Linked DNA regions of Schizosaccharomyces pombe. Changing the gene in region 3 together with the main gene of any one other region gives a genetic interaction. Each region holds a gene or a part of one and is shown on either strand. Other genes may lie near its edges.

Evidence for each region.
Region 1: mutations in pek1 (region 3) and SPOM_SPBPB7E8.01 together harm fitness more than expected from each alone (negative genetic interaction), as found in Schizosaccharomyces pombe (one large-scale study listed by BioGRID).
Region 2: of pek1 (region 3) and pmp1, extra expression of one rescues a mutant of the other (dosage rescue), as found in Schizosaccharomyces pombe (2 studies listed by BioGRID).

Annotation. Positions count from the first base shown.
Region 1 is NC_003423.3:3,491,317-3,497,762, reverse strand, and holds SPOM_SPBPB7E8.01 (uncharacterized protein), read right to left. Parts: upstream 3,542-6,446; 5' UTR 3,247-3,541; coding exon 1,537-3,246; 3' UTR 986-1,536; downstream 1-985.
Region 2 is NC_003423.3:491,891-498,336, reverse strand, and holds the start of pmp1 (dual-specificity MAP kinase phosphatase Pmp1), read right to left. Parts: upstream 1,805-6,446; 5' UTR 1,525-1,804; coding exon 688-1,524; 3' UTR 1-687. Other genes in the region: gamma tubulin complex linker Mto2, read right to left, coding at 2,402-3,595; idh2 (isocitrate dehydrogenase (NAD+) subunit 2), read left to right, coding at 4,682-4,753, 4,857-5,003, 5,051-5,099, 5,254-6,018, 6,069-6,175. UniProt on the Schizosaccharomyces pombe protein: Dual specificity phosphatase that dephosphorylates MAP kinase pmk1 on a Tyr. Has a role in chloride ion homeostasis by inactivating this pmk1 MAP kinase pathway.
Region 3 is NC_003423.3:4,309,079-4,315,524, reverse strand, and holds pek1 (MAP kinase kinase Pek1), read right to left. Parts: upstream 3,083-6,446; 5' UTR 2,763-3,082; coding exon 1,671-2,762; 3' UTR 1,385-1,670; downstream 1-1,384. Other genes in the region: fit1 (CoA pyrophosphatase (FIT) family lipid storage protein), read right to left, coding at 285-1,037; ATP-dependent RNA helicase Dbp8, read left to right, coding at 3,769-3,898, 3,966-4,089, 4,179-5,286; bor1 (HC03 family inorganic anion exchanger), read left to right, coding at 5,701-5,849, 5,917-6,216, 6,274-6,446. UniProt on the Schizosaccharomyces pombe protein: Involved in the mkh1 signal transduction pathway that plays a role in cell wall integrity. Activates spm1/pmk1 via phosphorylation.

The DNA.
Region 1 (6,446 bases), 820 kb from region 3:
TTTACCACGTTGTATGGTGCACTCTAATACTGCACGCCCGAACATTGCTGGTCTTAAAAAAGGATAACAAACGAATAACGTTGCCCCTCCAATCAGCTATGCCGGATTTTATAACGTCGTGCACGCATGCTATTCGTTATATTTCCTTTTCCAACTATTGACAAGCCCTTACAACCATAGCAACCATCCATTCATAAGCCATTGAACAGCCATATAGTGACATTCATCCACGTACCGTATAAATGCATCAACAAAATATACAGTATTGCCCAGAAACTCGATGCTACTAATAACGAATCGTTATATGGAAGCAGAGAGAACTCGCTGTTCGAGTGTGTGTTTTACTGAAGGATAAGAATTGAACAAAGTCCACGTCGTCTTCTCAATCACTATACCCACAGTATTTACTAGCCGATTTATTCGCTTCCCTCTTTAATTCTGCTGGAAAAGCCCATTTTCGGCTATGACTACTTTCGGATAAGGTTGCTGATGGTTATTGCATTTTAACATCTGGCGTTCACACCATTCAAGCATATGACGACGATAATCGAAGCACAAATGCCGCCCATTGTGTCAATCAGATCAACGACAAAAGCGCGGGACCGCTCGTAACGATCGTTAGTGCTTAAGACGGAGACAATTTCTATATAACGAAAGATTTTTAAACGTTAAAACCGTTGTCTCTTATACAGCCATCAATTATAGTGAATAAATGTGCTAGCAAACATTATATATATATATATATATTTATATATTCCATTACCGTGTTTACATGTCTTTCCCACATTTAATATAATTTATTTACTCACAAAAATGCATATTTTTAAATTCATCACCATATCAATCTTAGTATATAGGATTTTTTTACACATGTCATCCGATTGTAACAAAACTCACTCTCACAATATTAATCGCATCTACCGCTCTATCGTCATACAAAGTACCTTCTATCACACTACTTTTTTACAGCGACTTAACTAAGATTAAAACAAAAACATCAATCGATTAAATTTCGTTCGCGTAAAACTGAAAGCATTCCCTTCATTAAAGAGTTAAAAAAAAAAAATATTAAGTGTTTGTAAAATACACACGAAAATTTGAGTGAGACAAATGACCCAAACACTATTATAGAGGCATATATATAAAATATACATCATCACGTCGGTTAAAAAGCAACGGAATTATAATCACACAATTCGGGTAAAGTATCTTGTAAAAAGATAAAATGTTTTTATAACTTAACAAACAAAAGGGCAGATCGAAATTCTATAGAAATATGTGCAAGGTATATTGATACAGTTATCAACCAAAATTATAATTTAGTAGCAATCTTCAAAATAAAACTAGTGTTTCGCGTTTGCATAAGAAAACAAAGTATTAAACAAGGCTTCATATCGTCATTAATAGTATCATCTCCTAGCAATAAAAATTAATTGACTTTGATGGCCAAATCATAAAAATCTCACTAACAGCTAATTTAAAGCTTTATTATATAGTAATATACATCAGGAAGATTCAATTTGAAAATCAACCGCGTTAAAACAAACTTGCAGTAATCAAGCACAATCCTGCAGTCAAAGTCATCATCAAATTCTTGGAAACACTGAACAAATCACCAGCTGCTCCAGAGGTGGCGGATGTTGAACTAGACGCAGAAGCAGATGATGAAGCAGTTGAACTTGATGAGGTAGTTGTAGTAGTGTTGGTGGCATTAGTAGAAGTGGTGTTGGTTGAATCCAAGATAGATGTCTCTCTTCTCAAAGGATGAAGAGCAAGCTGTTTACCAGTTGGAGCAGTCTTGGGTTTTTCAGACAACGATCTCTTAGCCAAGCTCTCGCTATATTCGTTGGTAACACCAGTAAGGTTGTTGACCGAGTAGCCCATACGTCTGAAGACAGTACGCATAGCAGGACCGATGGGACCGTAAGCGACATCGGCTTGATCACTTCCATAAGCACACTCGATGTAGGATTCAAGAGTAGCGCCAGCAGTATAGAAAGCACGCATCAAAAAGTTGGGCTCACAATCATAATGATGAAGAGCTACATGAGACAAAGATGATCCAGATGAAAATGGAACATAGGAAGAATCCAAGTAAATAAAAGGTGAATAGGTGTCAATGCCTGCATCAGGGTAGATAACCAATCTACCGGGATTAATGGCCTTGCGGTAAGCTTCGTTAGCTTGGATATGGAACTGAGTAGTTGTATCATTCATCTGGGCAACAACACCGGCAATGGAGTCAGCCTTAAGGGTAAATGCAGCACCGACACTATGGAAAAATTCAGCAATGGTAGGTAATCCCTCATTAGGGTCGATAGAATAAAAAATATTCCTGTCAAAAGCATTCTCAATAACATCATGGAAAGCATACATAGTTTCTCCATTCATTTCACCAATAACATATGAGACAGTGGGTAAAAGAGCGTTCATATAAGGATCAGTGAGATTCTCATATCCGAATACACCCCATCCAGTTGAGAAACCAAGACCATGAGTTATTTCATGGAAAAGGACATAAGCCAAATCTACTGCTTCGTAGCCCATATCACCAGAGCCAAAGTAGAAATTAGCATCAGCGTTCAGGGCAATCGTAATATCGCTGTCAGCATATGAAGGAGGATCAGAAAGACCAAGTTGCTTAACTACAGCCTGAGGATAATAACGAGTTAAACCATCACTGCAAGCCATGGGAATTTCACGAGAAGGAGAAGCTTCACCGCCAATACTGCCTGCTACCATACCTTGACCCTGGGAACAAACAGACTCGCCAGTACAAGCACCAACAACGGTAACATCGATAACAATTGGGGTGTTAAGGTTAAGCACACGTGAGAATTGTTCACCCACGGAGTCAGCTACATCAATGTATTGCTGACATAACGTGTCATTGCTATGGCCATCAGAACCGAAATAGCAAGAAAAGTTAAAATCAAACATGTTCGTGGTTGAACGCTTGCTGAATGATTCCTTGTCAACGTTGACAATGGCGCCATCACGAGGGGCAAGGGGTAATAATTGGAAATCGGAAGGGTTCATATTTCCGTCAAAAGACCGCTTGTAGACACCTTCAGCATTAGGATCCAAGTCCCTTTTGTTAACAGTGGGAATACATTCCGATTCGAAACGAACCGACTCCAAAGTTCTCTTGTCGAAAGTAGTATCACGGCAGAAATACTGTGCAGAAACACCCTGAAGCATACTAGCACATTTCAAAATCAAAGCAGCCTTAACAAGAAGTGACATCGTGACTTCAAAAAAATTAACGAGAATAAAGAAAAAGAAAGGCGGGTATTAATTTCAATTCAAAAAAAAAGAACACAAAGGACTATAGAAAACACAAATAAAACAAGCGTTTTCAAAAATCAAGAAGAATAAAAAAACTCTAAAAAAGAAAAAAACCAAAAAAGTAAAAGTTAAGAAAAAATCTAATACAAAAGGAAGTAGTAATTAACTTCCAATTGTAAACGAATTGTATGAGCAAAAGAATGAAAACTCAACAACCGCTTTCAGTTAGAAAAGATCGTGTACAAATGATGTTGAAATCGATGACAGTCGAGGTTGTTTATATACTTTTGCGATTTAAAAACCGCCAGATAATTGAGGACTGGTAGAAAATCCAGCACATGACCTTGCGTAATGCAGCCAGCATTTTCATGCGATAGATGAACAAAAGTGCCGCTCTCTCACCACGTAAGATCCGCCAGCGCAGTGATTCATTTGCGCTAAATACTCAATAAAATGTAAGGAAGTAATGTTTTAACATGCTTAACCATAAAAAGCGAAGTATCGAGGGAATTTCCACTTGGTTTCGGTCCAAAAGTTAAAATATATCCGCAATTGGTGGAAAAAAATCCTCTTCCTTTATCAACCAAGTGCACCTCGGCTTGGCCAAAGCATAGTCAGTATCGATTTGCTACCAGCAAAGAGCAGTCACGGAAACCAAGAAAGAGGTTGGATAGTAGGTTGACCCTTGCAAATCCTTGAAGATGCGGACAGTTTAACTATCAGCTCGTTTAGTGGAATGGAAAATCAGCTGTTGTAAAGAGTCCACCGTGAACCAAAAAGTCAAGCGATATCTCGTAAGCATCGTAAAACAAGTCCGTGCGCAATCCTGCCACCTTCTACATTGCATTTAGTAGATAGAGATAATTGAAGCCTTTTTAATACAACGTTCATGAACTCAGTAAAACCAGTTTTCTTAAAAATTATGGTAAACTAGATGCGAAAGTCGGAAGAGTGAAACTCCATGCGCGCTTTCAAAATTAGCGATATTTTATTTTCAAGTGAAAAAAATGAGTAATGAAAGGCGCGACTAACTGAACGTGACTGCAGAAATTTTTAATTTCATACCGAAATCGTACATGGATGTAAATTTAGGGAAAGTCTCTTGATATTGACAAATGGTTAGCATTATAATCCAGAACAGTCTGCATCCCAAAATGACTAGACACAATGAAGGTTAATAACATTAGTCTACCAAGCCTACGGAGCAATCTCTCAATTCCCAAAAATAGACACAGTTTTAATTCTCCTTACTTATGATCGTTTTACAAACACCGAATTTTAATCAATAATCGTTGAATGCATGTTGCTCATTGTCAAACTTCTTCCGATTACTTGAACGTGGGAATCCTATCCAATTGACATTCGTCTTCCCAGAAAAAAATTTTGTAGGGAAGAATTGAATCATTGAAAGACACGTTTTTAAAACAATTGGAAATAAATTATGTTGTAATAGAAAAAAAACAAAGTTTATGCAACTTTTCGCACTTCGGTCACCAACGACGCTGGTTAACGAAAAACGGAACTAACTTAATTCCGTTCCTTTTGAAGGTTTTGCATCTAGAGACAAAGAATTGCAATATCGTGCATTTTAATTCTGTTTAATGATAAATGGTCGTCACAATTGCTTCTAATTAAGTTGACAGCTAGCTAGCTCAATTTGCTGGACGCTGGGAAAAGCAACTAACTATTGGAGTAGTTGATCGGTATCAGGGCGATTGACGACTAGCACACAGACGGAAACATGGATTTCGATCCGTTTTTGCGGAAGTACTCCCAAAACTAATATCCAGCACTGATGCTTAATGGAGAGCATTAAAGCATGATTCGTTCAGGTAATTGAAAAACGGTAATTTCAGGTGAAAAAAAAAATTTACTATCAGGACCTTTGCATTCTCAATAGGATAAATGAACATAGCTTTATCCGGCAATTCCTAAATTTGATCCATGTATATCAACGAATCTCCTTGAAACATGGTAATATAGGAAGCAACGAAGCTTTCATACAGAAGTGTCGTTTTATTCATTTAACAACGCTTAGGTTTTTCTATTGGTATATTCAACGATAATGCAAATGATTTAAAGCAAGCAAAAAATGATGCCTTTTTTTGACAGAGTTTTTTTGGTTTGAATAAACCGGAGTAGGCGAACAAAATTATTCACATAAATAAGACTGCAGAAATCACCAGATTTTCTTAAGCTACATTTTGTCTACGATCCACAAAGATTTCACCTTGAGTAAGAGTCAGAGAACATACTTGGAAAATGAGGTTGTGAATGGGAATTCAAAGGTATATATATATATGTATGTTTGTAACAGCTAGGCAAGTTATTTATAACAGGTACAGAAATATGTGTACCCGAATGCTCCTTCACAAAGACAAATCGAGTGGACAACCGCTAAGCGAAACCTATCAATAGAAGTGTTCATCAATAGACGAGGTAGCGTATGCTATTAATAGGCTAAACTTAAATATAACTAGCAAATCATTTCGCAAAACGATTATTATCAATTACATAAAAATGGGGAGAATCCACTTTCTTTGTTGTTTAAAACAAAGAAATCTGGCTATCTTTATTAAAATGACATGACATGTAAGAGAATCAATTAACAATAGTGTGCATATCTGTGCCTTACTATGGGATTCTTAGGAGAACGCTATTTCGCAGTATTGCTGTACAAAGATGTTACTAAATTATTTAAGATAATAAAAATTACTATATGCAGTAGGAAGTTGAAACAGCTAATAGAGTGAAAAAAACGAGAATATAGGACGCAATTGGACGTTTTGGGCTAGTTAGCAAATAAACTAAGAATTAAAGGTTTAGATTTCGAGGTGCAGTCAAACAATTTGTTCGCTTTTCATAGCTTAAATGTGTTTACGAAAGTTTGCGGAGTGCATTAAACTGATCAGATAGGAAAAATGGAGAACAAAGAAAGTGAATATTTAAAAGGATAGGCATACTACATACCTACGGTTTTGAAGATAGTATTAAAGGAAATATTGTTTTAACATCTATATATCACTAATTCAATATTTTTCCTCATTCTGTTGCAGGGCTCAAATTGAAATGATGTAGAAGGCTTCCTGGAAATTAAGCCTAACAAAGAAAGTGAAGTGATGAGTTATGAATGGGAAATCATACCATTCATTTAAACT
Region 2 (6,446 bases), 3.8 Mb from region 3:
AATGTAATGTACTTATAATTTAACCATTTCCAACTTTAATTGTAAATTCATGAATGCTCAAGTTAGTACGAATCGTAAACTCGGAAATTTACAAATTTCTAACGATTGAAGGAATGCTTTATATCAACTAAAGACACCGTGTTGCTGATAAGAAGGGACATCATTTTAACTGGGAATAAGAATAGATACTGATGATGTTGAATAAATATTCACAACCTCATATTAAGTTTAGTAATAATAACAAGGAAATAGCATAAAAATAGAATAATGAATTAGAAAATAACACGACGCACAAATTTCACTCAATAACAATGACAAATGACATGAAAACTCTAGTTTTTTTCATTGGTAAACAAACCGACCCAGAACCAAAGACTAGAAGTAAAAAACTGAGGTAAATACAAATTCGCAACATAGAACGATAAAACATCTGCAAGCTAAGTATTAAACAAGAATTATAACTATACATTGGAAGCGAGCAATGCAAACTGTAAAAAAGTCCATGACGAATGATATGAATAACTGACGAGCGACCCGTAAGTCTTCATAATAAAGTGGATATTTTTTAAAAGCAGCTGATAAGCTTAGAATTAAGACCCATAAGGAAGAGTATAAAAACCAACTTACAACGGAACTTGAATAGACAAAATTTCCCTTTTTTTATGTATTTATAAATAATTGGCATTGTCAAGAAGCATCATTACTTATACTGCCGCTACTTCGAGTTCTTCGAAGATTTGTGAACATACTTGACTCAGACGTGGACGGGCTAACAAGAGGCAGTTGTGCACTATGAGGCTTTTCAGGGAAAAGCAAATTACCTTCAGATTTCCTTTTGGATTGTTTCAAGGATGACGATTGATAGGGACCTTGACTAGAATTTTTACGAATAATTTGTTGATATTCTGAAAGCTGAAAAATCAAAGACATGTTGGGACCTATCCATGGAGATCGTTCTTTAACGTACTCATAAGCATCAGAAACATTTAGGTTTAATGTCTTCATTATAAACGCGATCATCAAACAAGCAGAGCGAGAAATGCCCATTTGACAATTAATTAAAACCTTTTTGTTAAGTTGCATGGCATTGTAAGCTACAAAAGAAACAAGCTTATCAAGTTCCAAAGCAAACTGTGTATCATGATCCCAATGAATGTGAACATATTCGATGTGATCAAATACTTGAATGTCCAGGTTATGTTTAGAATCTCTATAATGACGGCCATCAGTGCGAAATGGATGCAAAACTTCCTTCGCCACGTTTATAACAACATCAAAAGATTGAATAATGGGCATAGTAGGTTTGGCATATAAGTAAATATTTGGGGGATAGATACAAACAGGGCCATTGGGGTACGGCTGATTAGAATTGGGTTTAGATGCTTTCGGGAAAGATGGAGGGACAGGACACGGAGTAAACAATTGTGAATGACTAGCTTCCTCTTCGTTTTCCAACATATTTTTGTGGGAAACCAGGGGAAGTTGGGAGGTGTAAATTTTTAAGGGAGGTAGTTTTTGAGACATTCTCAAAGGAAGTTTTGATCGAAGCGGTTGTAAGGAAGACTCTTTTCGTTCTATATTTGTTGAGGACTTCAATGCACGTCCTTTCGTTTCAATTTGCTCTTCTGCATTTTCTTTCGCTGATTCAGAATTCATTTTGTGAGTTACCTTCAAACATTCATGGCACCAATAACCATTTCAACTTAGCTTCCTCTATAATATTTAACTTGCAAGAAGATAACTGGAGAATACAAATTTTCAGTGTTCTAATAATTGATGATAGACTGAAAAGATGTATGGAAGTATTGTGAGCTCCTACCAAGCTACAGCATTTGATGCTTTTCTACAGGTGACAGAGGTAACGCATTTTAACAAGTTGGTAAACTTGAATATAGAAAGATACTAAAAGTAAATACAGTAACGAGTTAAATTATCTGATTCATTTTATAAATCAGGTGCGAAATAAAGCTAATTAAACACAATGTACCATTTCGTCTTGCGAAGAAGACATCCACTTCCCAAATCTAAATTATCGTATATGGTTAAATAATGAAAAGATCTGCACTGAATTATCAATTTTAAAAAAATAGCATTGATGAGAAGATGAACAAAACCTCAAATTTTAAGACGTTCTCATACTATAAAGTTTGAGCAAGCAATGCAGCAAATAGAGATGCAGCCAGATCCAATAACATTAAAATAGACGTCCTAGTAGGATTAGCAACTTCTTAAAGAAATGAGCGATATAAAAAAAATAAAAACTTGTACGAGAGGGACGACAAATTAAATGATAGCACTCCTCAATCAATGTTTGTATGAACTTACATGTATGAGAAGAACCTGATTTACTTGATAAACACAAAGAAAAATTGATTCAAAATTAAACTTGTAATAGGCCGAACTAGGGGGAAGGAGTGTCTTGAAGAGAAGGAAAAGACTGTGATGCTGGAGACGCCCTCTGGGGGATAATAGGATGAGCAACTCGCAAAGACGTTGGTGATGGATGCAAGCTCGATTTGTTTGTAGAATTCGAGACATGACGGGTTGATGGATCGCTACGGTACCGGAAATGAGATGCAGCACTATACATTTGAGAAGGAGGAGTAGAATGTGTATGAATTTTTGAATGAAATCGGGAATCATCAGAAAAGAGAGTTGTTCTAACATTATGATGAGAAAGTTCATTTGATTGAAGATCAACTGATGGAAAGGGGTCATTTAAATGCAGAGAAGGCCTACCATAACTATCAGAGGCCATACGTTGTGGTGAAGAATCAACAGAACTGGTATAATTCAATGGTGGTGTATGACGGACAAGATCTAAAGAGTTTGAGCTTTCCTGTTGACTCAAAATAGATGCATCGATCGCTTCTTGCACCAAGCCAAGACACAATTCGGCAAGGCTTCGGCATAACGCATCCACCACACTCGATGGAGAGGTGTTTACCAAGGTGATTGCATGGTTTACAGCTTGCTCTACGGGCTTTAAAATGATGGGCGAAGGATGATAAGTGCGAAGCCGCATAAGAGCCGTTTGCATCGTGCTTAGCGGCGCCGGTGAGTGAGGTGAATGAGTAGAGGGTAAAAGAGAAGGGTAACTGTTAGGAGAACGATATGGACTAAGATTGTTATGATAGCCTAAGTAGGAAGAGGGTCGCTCACTGAGTTGAAGCTCTACTTGATTTAAGCGTTCTCGGAGATTTTCAAGCTCCTGAAGCACAAGGTTATTATCTGCAGTCGATACTTTTTCCAAAGACTTTTCAGAAACAAATTTCGCTGCTTTATGCTCCTGTATAGCATTATTAGACTTCATTGAATTCACGTTTGCATCCGCCAAACTCGGCCAAGACGGCGAGTAAAGAGGATTTTCATCTTTTGTAAAAGAGACCCCATTGTCTAAATAATTATTATCGCTATACATGGAATCTTCTAAAGGTTCTGTCATTAAAGATGCGGATCTCATACCAGCGCGCCATGGTGAACCTCTTGGAGTAGATTCGCGCGAATTTGAGGATAATTGATTAGCAGAGGCTTCATAATTAAGAAAAGGATCCTCTGCCACTTCCCTATCAGACTGGTAATTATGTTCAGACATGCGAAACCACCAGCAAGACGCTGGAGGATTAGAATAAACAGTTGCAAGACCAAGCTCGAATTTGCAAGAGATTCTTGCACTCTTGAAAGATAAAGAGTTGAAAGCACGAATTAACGAATAGAGTATGCACTCTGAAAACCTAACTTAACATACTGTCTTATACTATTTAAAAGTAATATTGCAAAACACAGCAACAAGACAGTTCGCTATTAGTTATCATAACGTATTTTAACGGGATCCACGAAGTTTTCCTGAATAAGCTTTTCCCACAGTTCGTTAGGATAACTTGCTAGTTTTTATTAACCGAAGCTTAATTCTAAGCGGCAACTTCGACTGTGCGGGCAAACAGTACGCTTCGTTACATGTCACTATGCTTTTTTAACTATTCCTAAAAAATCTTTAAATGCCTTTAACACACAATAATCGTTATTGTTTTTAGTGAGTGTATGGTTGAGATAGTTTGAAATAGGAACTACGTATTCTAAAATGCTACACTATTTAAGACAAATAGCAAAACATCTTTTTGTTGAATGAATGAATATATTTGGAAGAGTAATTGAGAAAATAAAGCATAATCCGAAAAATTAAAAAAGCACACCTAGTATATGACAACACTAATTTTCCAGTTGAGAACAATACAAAAGTCAAGATATCAATAACACCAGTGTGAAGCTACAAAATTACAATTTTTTTAATTCAAGCAAAACCAATTCGTCGAATTATCCTCTCAATTTAGACAATTACATCTTTAGTTACTGAATATACCTCAAGAACCAAATAGATGTGTTTTTTAAACAACATTAATAATTATGTACTACTGAAATTATCGTTAAAAACTATATAACGCAATAATAGACAATGCAGTAAAAAAGAGCGCTATGTAATAACAATTCCTCATTCCGCTTCGAGGGGCTTTCTAAATGGTTAAACTCCACTCAATTACCCTTGCTTAACTCCACGTTCTATCTCCACAAAATTCGGTAAAGTCAAATTAAGGATGATGCGACGACTCTCGGAATCCTTTGTTTATATCACGGTCCGACATCTTGCACTCTCCATACATGCTACATTAGTTATAAAAAAACAATGTCAATGCTTTCTACTTTACGTACTGCAGGTTCTTTACGGACGTTTTCAAGAAGCGCCTGTTACTCTTTTGTAAGTTGTGAATTGGCTCCTAAGCGATAAATCGCTGGTTTAAGCAGCCTTACTCGTCTTTTCATGATTATTTGATCGATTATATTAACAGAGTTATTTTTAGCAGAGATTTTCTTCAACGAAGGCTGCCGCTGGGACATATGAAGGAGTAAAGAATGCCAACGGGAACTACACAGTAACGATGATTGCTGGCGATGGCATTGGTCCAGAAATTGCTCAGTCTGTAGAACGTATATTTAAGGCTGCAAAGGTTTGTCGAGTCATCCGTCATTTAGTCATTAACGACTTGTATTGTAGGTCCCTATCGAATGGGAACGTGTAAAAGTATATCCTATTTTGAAAAATGGTATGTCAAGTATAAGAGAAGATGGTTGGATTTGTATGCAGTTTGGCCTTTCTTTTATACGTTTTTGTCAGCAATGCTTGTTCCTGCTTGTCAAGTCCTTCCATGTCTCCTCGAGATTATCGCGCACGAAAATCACGTTTACTAATTCGTTTAGGTACTACTACTATTCCTGATGATGCTAAGGAATCTGTTAGGAAAAATAAAGTGGCTTTGAAAGGTCCATTGGCAACCCCAATTGGGAAGGGTCATGTTTCTATGAACCTTACTTTGCGTCGTACTTTCGGCTTGTTTGCCAATGTTCGTCCCTGTGTATCTATTACGGGATACAAAACACCTTATGATAACGTTAATACCGTTTTGATTCGTGAGAACACTGAGGGTGAATACTCAGGCATCGAGCATGAAGTTATACCAGGCGTTGTTCAATCGATTAAATTAATTACTCGCGCAGCATCTGAGCGTGTTATTCGTTATGCATTCCAATATGCTCGCCAAACTGGCAAGAACAACATCACCGTAGTCCACAAGGCTACCATTATGCGCATGGCTGACGGTTTATTTTTGGAATGCGCCAAGGAGCTTGCACCTGAATATCCTGATATCGAGCTTAGGGAGGAAATCTTGGATAACGCCTGCTTGAAGATTGTCACCGATCCTGTCCCTTATAACAACACAGTTATGGTTATGCCCAATTTATACGGTGATATTGTTTCTGATATGTGCGCTGGTTTAATTGGCGGTCTTGGTTTGACTCCTTCCGGAAACATTGGCAACCAAGCTTCCATCTTTGAAGCTGTTCATGGTACTGCCCCTGATATTGCTGGAAAAGGTTTAGCCAACCCTACTGCTTTACTGTTATCTTCTGTAATGATGTTGAAGCACATGAATTTAAATGATTATGCCAAACGCATCGAATCAGGTATGTGTTTTACTAAATTAAGATTTTGTCTGTTTACTAATTACCATTAGCTATCTTTGATACCCTTGCAAACAATCCCGATGCTCGCACCAAGGATTTGGGCGGCAAGTCAAACAATGTTCAATATACCGATGCCATTATTTCTAAACTGAAGTAACATGCCCATTTTGTTTACTTCTTGCTATGAACACTGAATTTATGTTTCTTTCCTTATCATGAGTTTTCTCTCCTAGCCGATTTTTGTTACCACTTTTAATGAATTGTGTAACGATTTGAGTTGTAATTCGGAAGCATTAACTCTTTTGTATCAAAAAACCGAATTGATCGAAATGTTAGTTACAAATATTTCAATATGAAATCTCCATTTTTGAAATGCTTATTGCACTCTATAAGATTAATCAATTAGTTGCTTATATTTTATGACAGCC
Region 3 (6,446 bases):
GAAGAAACTTTACGGCTATCAAATATATATGGAAGAACGCATTTTCACTCAAAACAATTGACGAGTATTTTTCCCAAGTAAAATACTCTCTAAAATATACTTAGTTTTGGTAAATAATGAAAAGATTTTTTTTATCATGATGGCACTATCGTAATAATCGACAGAGAGATAAAAGGGTCATAAACAAATAAGTTTAGAGAAGGAAGGATATGCTATGTCACAAGTGTTGCACTATATAAAACAATCATTTAGAAGCATAGTTTAAGGACAAATGGTGGTAAAGGCTAGTAATCGGAGGATCCTAAAAGATCAGCGACCGCTGGCATTCTTGAAGAGAACACGTAAACAATAGACCATTCTAAAATACCAGAGAAAAACCCGGTACATTTTTCAAAAGTAGTATGGTAAAAGGATGCAGTAACAAATAACATCCACCACCAAAGTCCAAGAAGACCAAAAAGTACTTTAGTAGATGTAGCTTTTATTCCATTATTCAAAATAAATGAAAAGTTTTCAGACAACATAAACAAGCTCGAGTGAGTTAACAAGAAAACATGGCCCGAGAGATCATGACCACCAGACCAAGATCCGTTTAATCCCTTGCAAGTGGAGGCGGTAAGTGGAATGAACACAGATGAATCACCATCAAAGTTTTTGCAACTTCCGCCAGATAATGCAAAGGTTCTATCAATCAGGCCAGGTCCTATAAACCATTGGGTTACAAACATCCACCATAGAGTGGCCACTATATACCTTGAAATAAACTTGAAGTCAATTTTGTTTCTCTTTTGATCCCAAGCATGATAAAAATATACTAAAGAAGTCCAGAACCAGCCTCTTTTTACAAAAATCAAATTAATCAAATTTTTCGAGTTTCCAAAGTAAGAGGTAATCGACCATTTGTCAACATAAATGCTATAAATGCTACCTAGAAGAAGTGTAGTGGCATATATTTCAAACAGAAGTATATCTTTGCGACGAAGCTTCAATATAGAGGTTTCTTCATTCCAATAATGACTAGCAGTTTTTTCAGTCATTTTTTTTAAATAATTTTTATTAGGCAGACAACGTATACAAATTAAACTTAAAAATAAAGATAGAACGGTGTAGTGAAAAGCAATTAATTCATTGAAAGAGTTAAGGACATGTATACCCTGGGAAGTTTGGTGTAGTTACACCACCAACTTACGTGCGTAGACTAGAAAAAAAACGAATCATTGCCTCACGTTATAAGAGAACGAAAAGAAATAGTCCTTAATTGTGGATAATTAAATATACGAATTCTTTCGTTTTTTAAGTTGCCATATAACGCCTATTTTGCCTATTTTTGTTAAAAAGCTAGCAAGGCGTAAATCTATCATTTCTCGCTACGATTTGAGTATGCATAATCAAGCCAAAATTATTTCTGTTAAAAATGTTAAACCCATAAAATTACTATAAAGGAGGTATTTGTATAAAGAAAATTAGAAAAACCGTTAGCAATTAATAAAAAGTATATATTATTATGACTTTCCTATTTATTTCATACAACAAGCGAACTGGAAGACAGTTAGACTCATAATATTTTGCCATTAATCAGATTATGCATTCTCCAATGTAAAGAAATTTAGCATAAGAATTTTCAAACAGAATTTATCAACTTACAGTGCTAACATATGACACTATTTCTTCTAATCAGACCAGACTTGACGAAGGAACTCTTCCATGTCCACATGAATTCTCTCAAACGCTTTAACCCAAGGATGGGTAAGCATTTTTTGGGGTCCAGGACGACGAGTTTTGTCTTTATCCAGACACACGCATAGAAAATGTTGAAAGGATTTCGACCATTTAATACCGGGTTCTTGAGGTAAAAGGGGAGGTGGCATATTTATTATATACGAGAGCAATTCAATAGGCATTGGTGGGGGGCTACCCTCGGGAGGGAATGGAAACCGGTTTAATGCGACCTCCATCAATGTTAAACCCAAAGACCATATATCTGACGATATAGTATAAGATCCCCCAGAAATTCGTTCAGGCGCCATGTAATACGAAGTTCCAGTGAATGTGCCAGCGAGAGAGTTAACCAATTCTCCAGATACACCAAAATCGCATAACTTCACTTGACCTTTTGACGTCAGAAGGATATTTGATGGCTTAATATCACGGTGTATTATTTTCCTGTCATGTAAATAGCTTAAACCGCTAAGGACACCGAATGCAATCTTGCCCAATGGTCGTTCTCCAGTGCGTCCACCTTGACTGCGTACGCGTTTGTATATCGCGTCGAGAGATCCTGCTCCGCAATATTCCATAGCTATGTTTAACTGACACTCTGCGTTATTGTAGCAAGCGCCATAATATTTAACGATGTAAGGAGAGGTACAACTTCTGTTGATTTTTAACTCTCGAAGGAGTTGCTTTTGTAAAGCGGTATTCGGAGCAGCTAATACAGTTTTCATAGCGAAAATCATCTGAGTCCCACGAATTCTGCATTTCCTTACAGAGCCACTAACACCTTCACCTAGACTGTTCATGTACAAAATACCTCCATTTGTAACCAATTCATGTAGGTGATCATCATCAAGTTCTTCCAGAAAGGAAGGAACAAATGTTTTACTATCCCGGCTCTCCTTTCGCTGAGTTAATTTCGACTCGCTAGAAAACACCAGGTCTGTAATCTCGACAATTCCTTGATTGTCATTACGTTCAGGATGACTTATATATTCTTCAGAGAACCCATTACTGGTATCTAAGTTCAAGACAGGTTTTTTGGACATAGAGGCATGGGCGCTTTCTTCGATATTTTTTCAATTTGTAGAAAGAGTGACAAGAGATGACTGATACCAAGTCCAAAAGTTTGTTTGTATTTTTAACAAACTTCAATTTTTATTCTTCTTTTCCAAAAACGCAAGGAAAGTAAATTCTAACGTATGGTCTTCCCGCTAAATAAACCTACCAATTATAAACTTTTTTGAAGTTTTTGCTTCCTGAATTAGAAAATTAGAGGATAGCACTATAAACGGAAACTTTGATGGAAGAGTTAATTCCTCGCAAACAAACAACCGAGGCCTCTATTAGAAGAAATCGTATAGTTTTCGGAAGCTATACTAAATACGATTGACCATTATTAGTATAACCTACATTTCTAAATTAGGACTTCACTAAATAACTTATGGACTTAGCTATGTAGATACGTTATTTTAGAATTAGTGAGACCTTTGTTAAAACGACTTCGGGAATTGTTCATTACGAGTATAAGTTAATGTAATTATGAGACTATCATATCCTGTGAGCTTTCTTCTTTTATTTACTATAAATGTCTACCTCTAAAATTATAATTAATTTTGTTCAAGGAAAACATAAAAGAATATATTTATCATTGCATGATTTTCTATGGCTTATAATAACTACATACAATCCGTTAACTATTATAAGAACACGATTAACTACGTAAAGTTCAAATATTGTGTTTTGCACGTTGGTTTACCGAAAAAGCACTAAATAACTTACAAGCAAACTGAAGAAATTAGTTTGAGTTCTATCTGTACTTATTTTAGAGAACAATAAAAACTTTATGTTAACCATATGAAGATTTTATCTGTGTATGTTGACCTAAAAGTCATTGAAAAATGTCGCATCAGCAATAATGTCTAAAGCAGCGTAATGTAGCGTAGCGTGTTAATTTTGCAGTAAGGGCAACAAGTTGAATCCCAATAGTTTGGTTTGACAGTACAGTAACCATTATATTTAATTTAAATAAAACCCTTACATCGGGGAGAAAACATGTCAGAACATACAAGAAAATCATTCTCTGATTTAGGAATATCGCCATGGCTTATCGATACGCTAAAAGCACTTGCAATATATGAACCTACAGATATTCAGGAAGGAGTAATTGCTCAGATTTTAGAAGGTATGCTTACAAAAATTAATAAAGTAAAATTAAGTGTAAAATGTGCCTAACAAATAAAAATTTATAGGACGTAATTGTATTGGAGGTGCTAAAACAGGTTCTGGTAAAACTGCTGCTTTTGCTTTGCCTATTATTGAAAAATGGTCTAAGGATCCATCAGGAATATTTGCTCTTATTTTGACACCAACCAGGTATAAAATATAACATTATTGTACTTTTTCTTAAAATTTAAATTAGTATAAATGTTAACTATTCTACTACAATTAGCTAACTCGAACAGAGAACTTGCAATACAGATTGATGAACAATTTGCTGCTTTAGGTGCTAATCTTAATTTAAAGCATGCGCTCATCGTTGGAGGCATGGATATGATACGACAATCTATTGATTTATCGAAACGGCCCCATGTTGTTGTAGCTACTCCTGGTCGCCTAGCTGACTTGATTAGAAGTAATGGTGAAGAAACGATAGCCGGACTACGTCGAATAAAATTTTTGGTAATGGACGAAGCCGACCGTTTGTTGTCTCCTACCTTTGCTGATGACTTGGATGATTGCTTTTCTGTTCTTCCAGCCTCTGAAGATCGTCAAACGCTTTTGTTTACTGCAACTGTTACTGATGCTATTCGTCAGCTCAAATATCAGCCACAGAAAAATAATAAGCCTCCCCTTTGGTTATACGAAGTTGAAACTGATAACATTTCCGTACCTTCTACTTTGCAGCAAAGTTACATATTTGTTTCCTCACAAGTACGAGAAGCTTATTTGGTGCATTTGTTAACGATTCCTGAGAACGCTAAAAAGTCTGCAATTATCTTTGTAAATCGGACTCGCACTGCTGAATTGATATATTCTATTCTTCGATTGCTCGAGCTTCGTGTCACCGAACTTCATTCAGAAATGGTACAACGTGAAAGGATCAATTCACTTGGACGGTTTCGTGCGGAAGCTGCAAAAATTTTGGTAGCCACTGACGTTGCAAGCAGAGGTTTGGATATTCCTTCTGTGCAACTAGTAATTAACTTCGACCTTCCTCGTGACCCAGACGACTATATTCACCGAGTAGGTCGTACAGCTCGTGCTGGACGCAGTGGCGAGTCCATTTCCATTGTAACGGAGAGAGATGTTGATTTAGTCCATGCTATTGAGGATCGAGTAGGAACTAAGCTTTCTGAATATGAACACGTGTCAGAGAATAAGATGCTTGAATACATCAAGGAAGTTACGGACGCTAAACGCCAGGCTTCTCTTGAGATGATCGATAGGGGATTTGGTGAAAGGAGACAGAAGCGAAACGAGAAAAGGCTGATGGCCAATGGTATTTCTAATAAATTAAAAAATTCTGGACGCAAAAAGAAAGCGAAGAATACTTTATCTACGGAAAAGTAGTATAAAAGTTTTGAAGTTCAAGGTTGTTTTAGTGGTTTAAGGTATATATATATACGGATAATAATATTTAAATTTTGTTTACTTAAAGGAGGTTGCGGTTTTATTGACCACATTAACTATCAAATGTGACGATGAAATAGATTTTATAACAAGAATGCAAAGAATGTGGACATTGCGACATTGTGGAAAAATATTTTTTATGGACTAATATTTCTCCCTATTAATTTTGATTCTAAATATTCTTAAGTACAGGTAATTGTTTACAAAGCATCAATCTTCCTAGACCGTTACCGTAATTTGTGGATACCACGGTATATTAGAACCCAATGGCCTTTATGATATAACTAACCAACATTATAAAAGCAAATCTGCCATACCCAATTCGTTTCTTTCTTTTAAATAATCTCTAATCATATGAATAAAAAGGATAAGAAGTTTAATTACATTTTTGGGTCAGAGATTGTTAATGATGTAAAAAAGCGATTACCTTATTACAAATCTGACTGGATTGATGCATGTCATTATCGAGTACTTCCTGCTTGTTTAAATATTTATTTTTCAAAGTATGTGCGTTTCAAATATACATTTATCACAATTGACATTTTATCGTGCTTTTTCTAAACTTGCTAGCTTACTCCCAGAATTAGCATTTGCCTTAGATATGTTTGCAAAAACAAATAACAGTTTTGGGGTGAATGAGGTTTTACTTGCCAGCGTTTTAGGTTCAGTTGTTTTCGCGTTGCTTTCTTCGCAGCCTTTGTGCATCGTCGGGGTTACAGGGCCTATTACAGTCTTTAATTATACTGTTTACGATATAATGCATGATAGAGGAACACCATATTTCCCTTTCCTTTGCTGGATTTGTCTTTGGTCAATGATTTTTCACTTCATCATTGCTATAGCAAATGGGGTTTATTTTGTAAAGCATATGTAAGTTCGCTTTTTGCTTTTATGTTCTTGTGATATCCAGCTAATTGAAAACTGTAGCACAAAATTCAGCTGTGAAATTTTTGGCCTATATGTTGCGTTTATTTATTTGGAAAAAGGCGTTCAAGTTCTTTGTGACCAATTAAAGTATGGGCTTACAAATACATTTCTGTCAATTACTATTGCTTTATTATTTTTAATGGTGGGATGGCTTTGTGATACAGTAGGAAAAT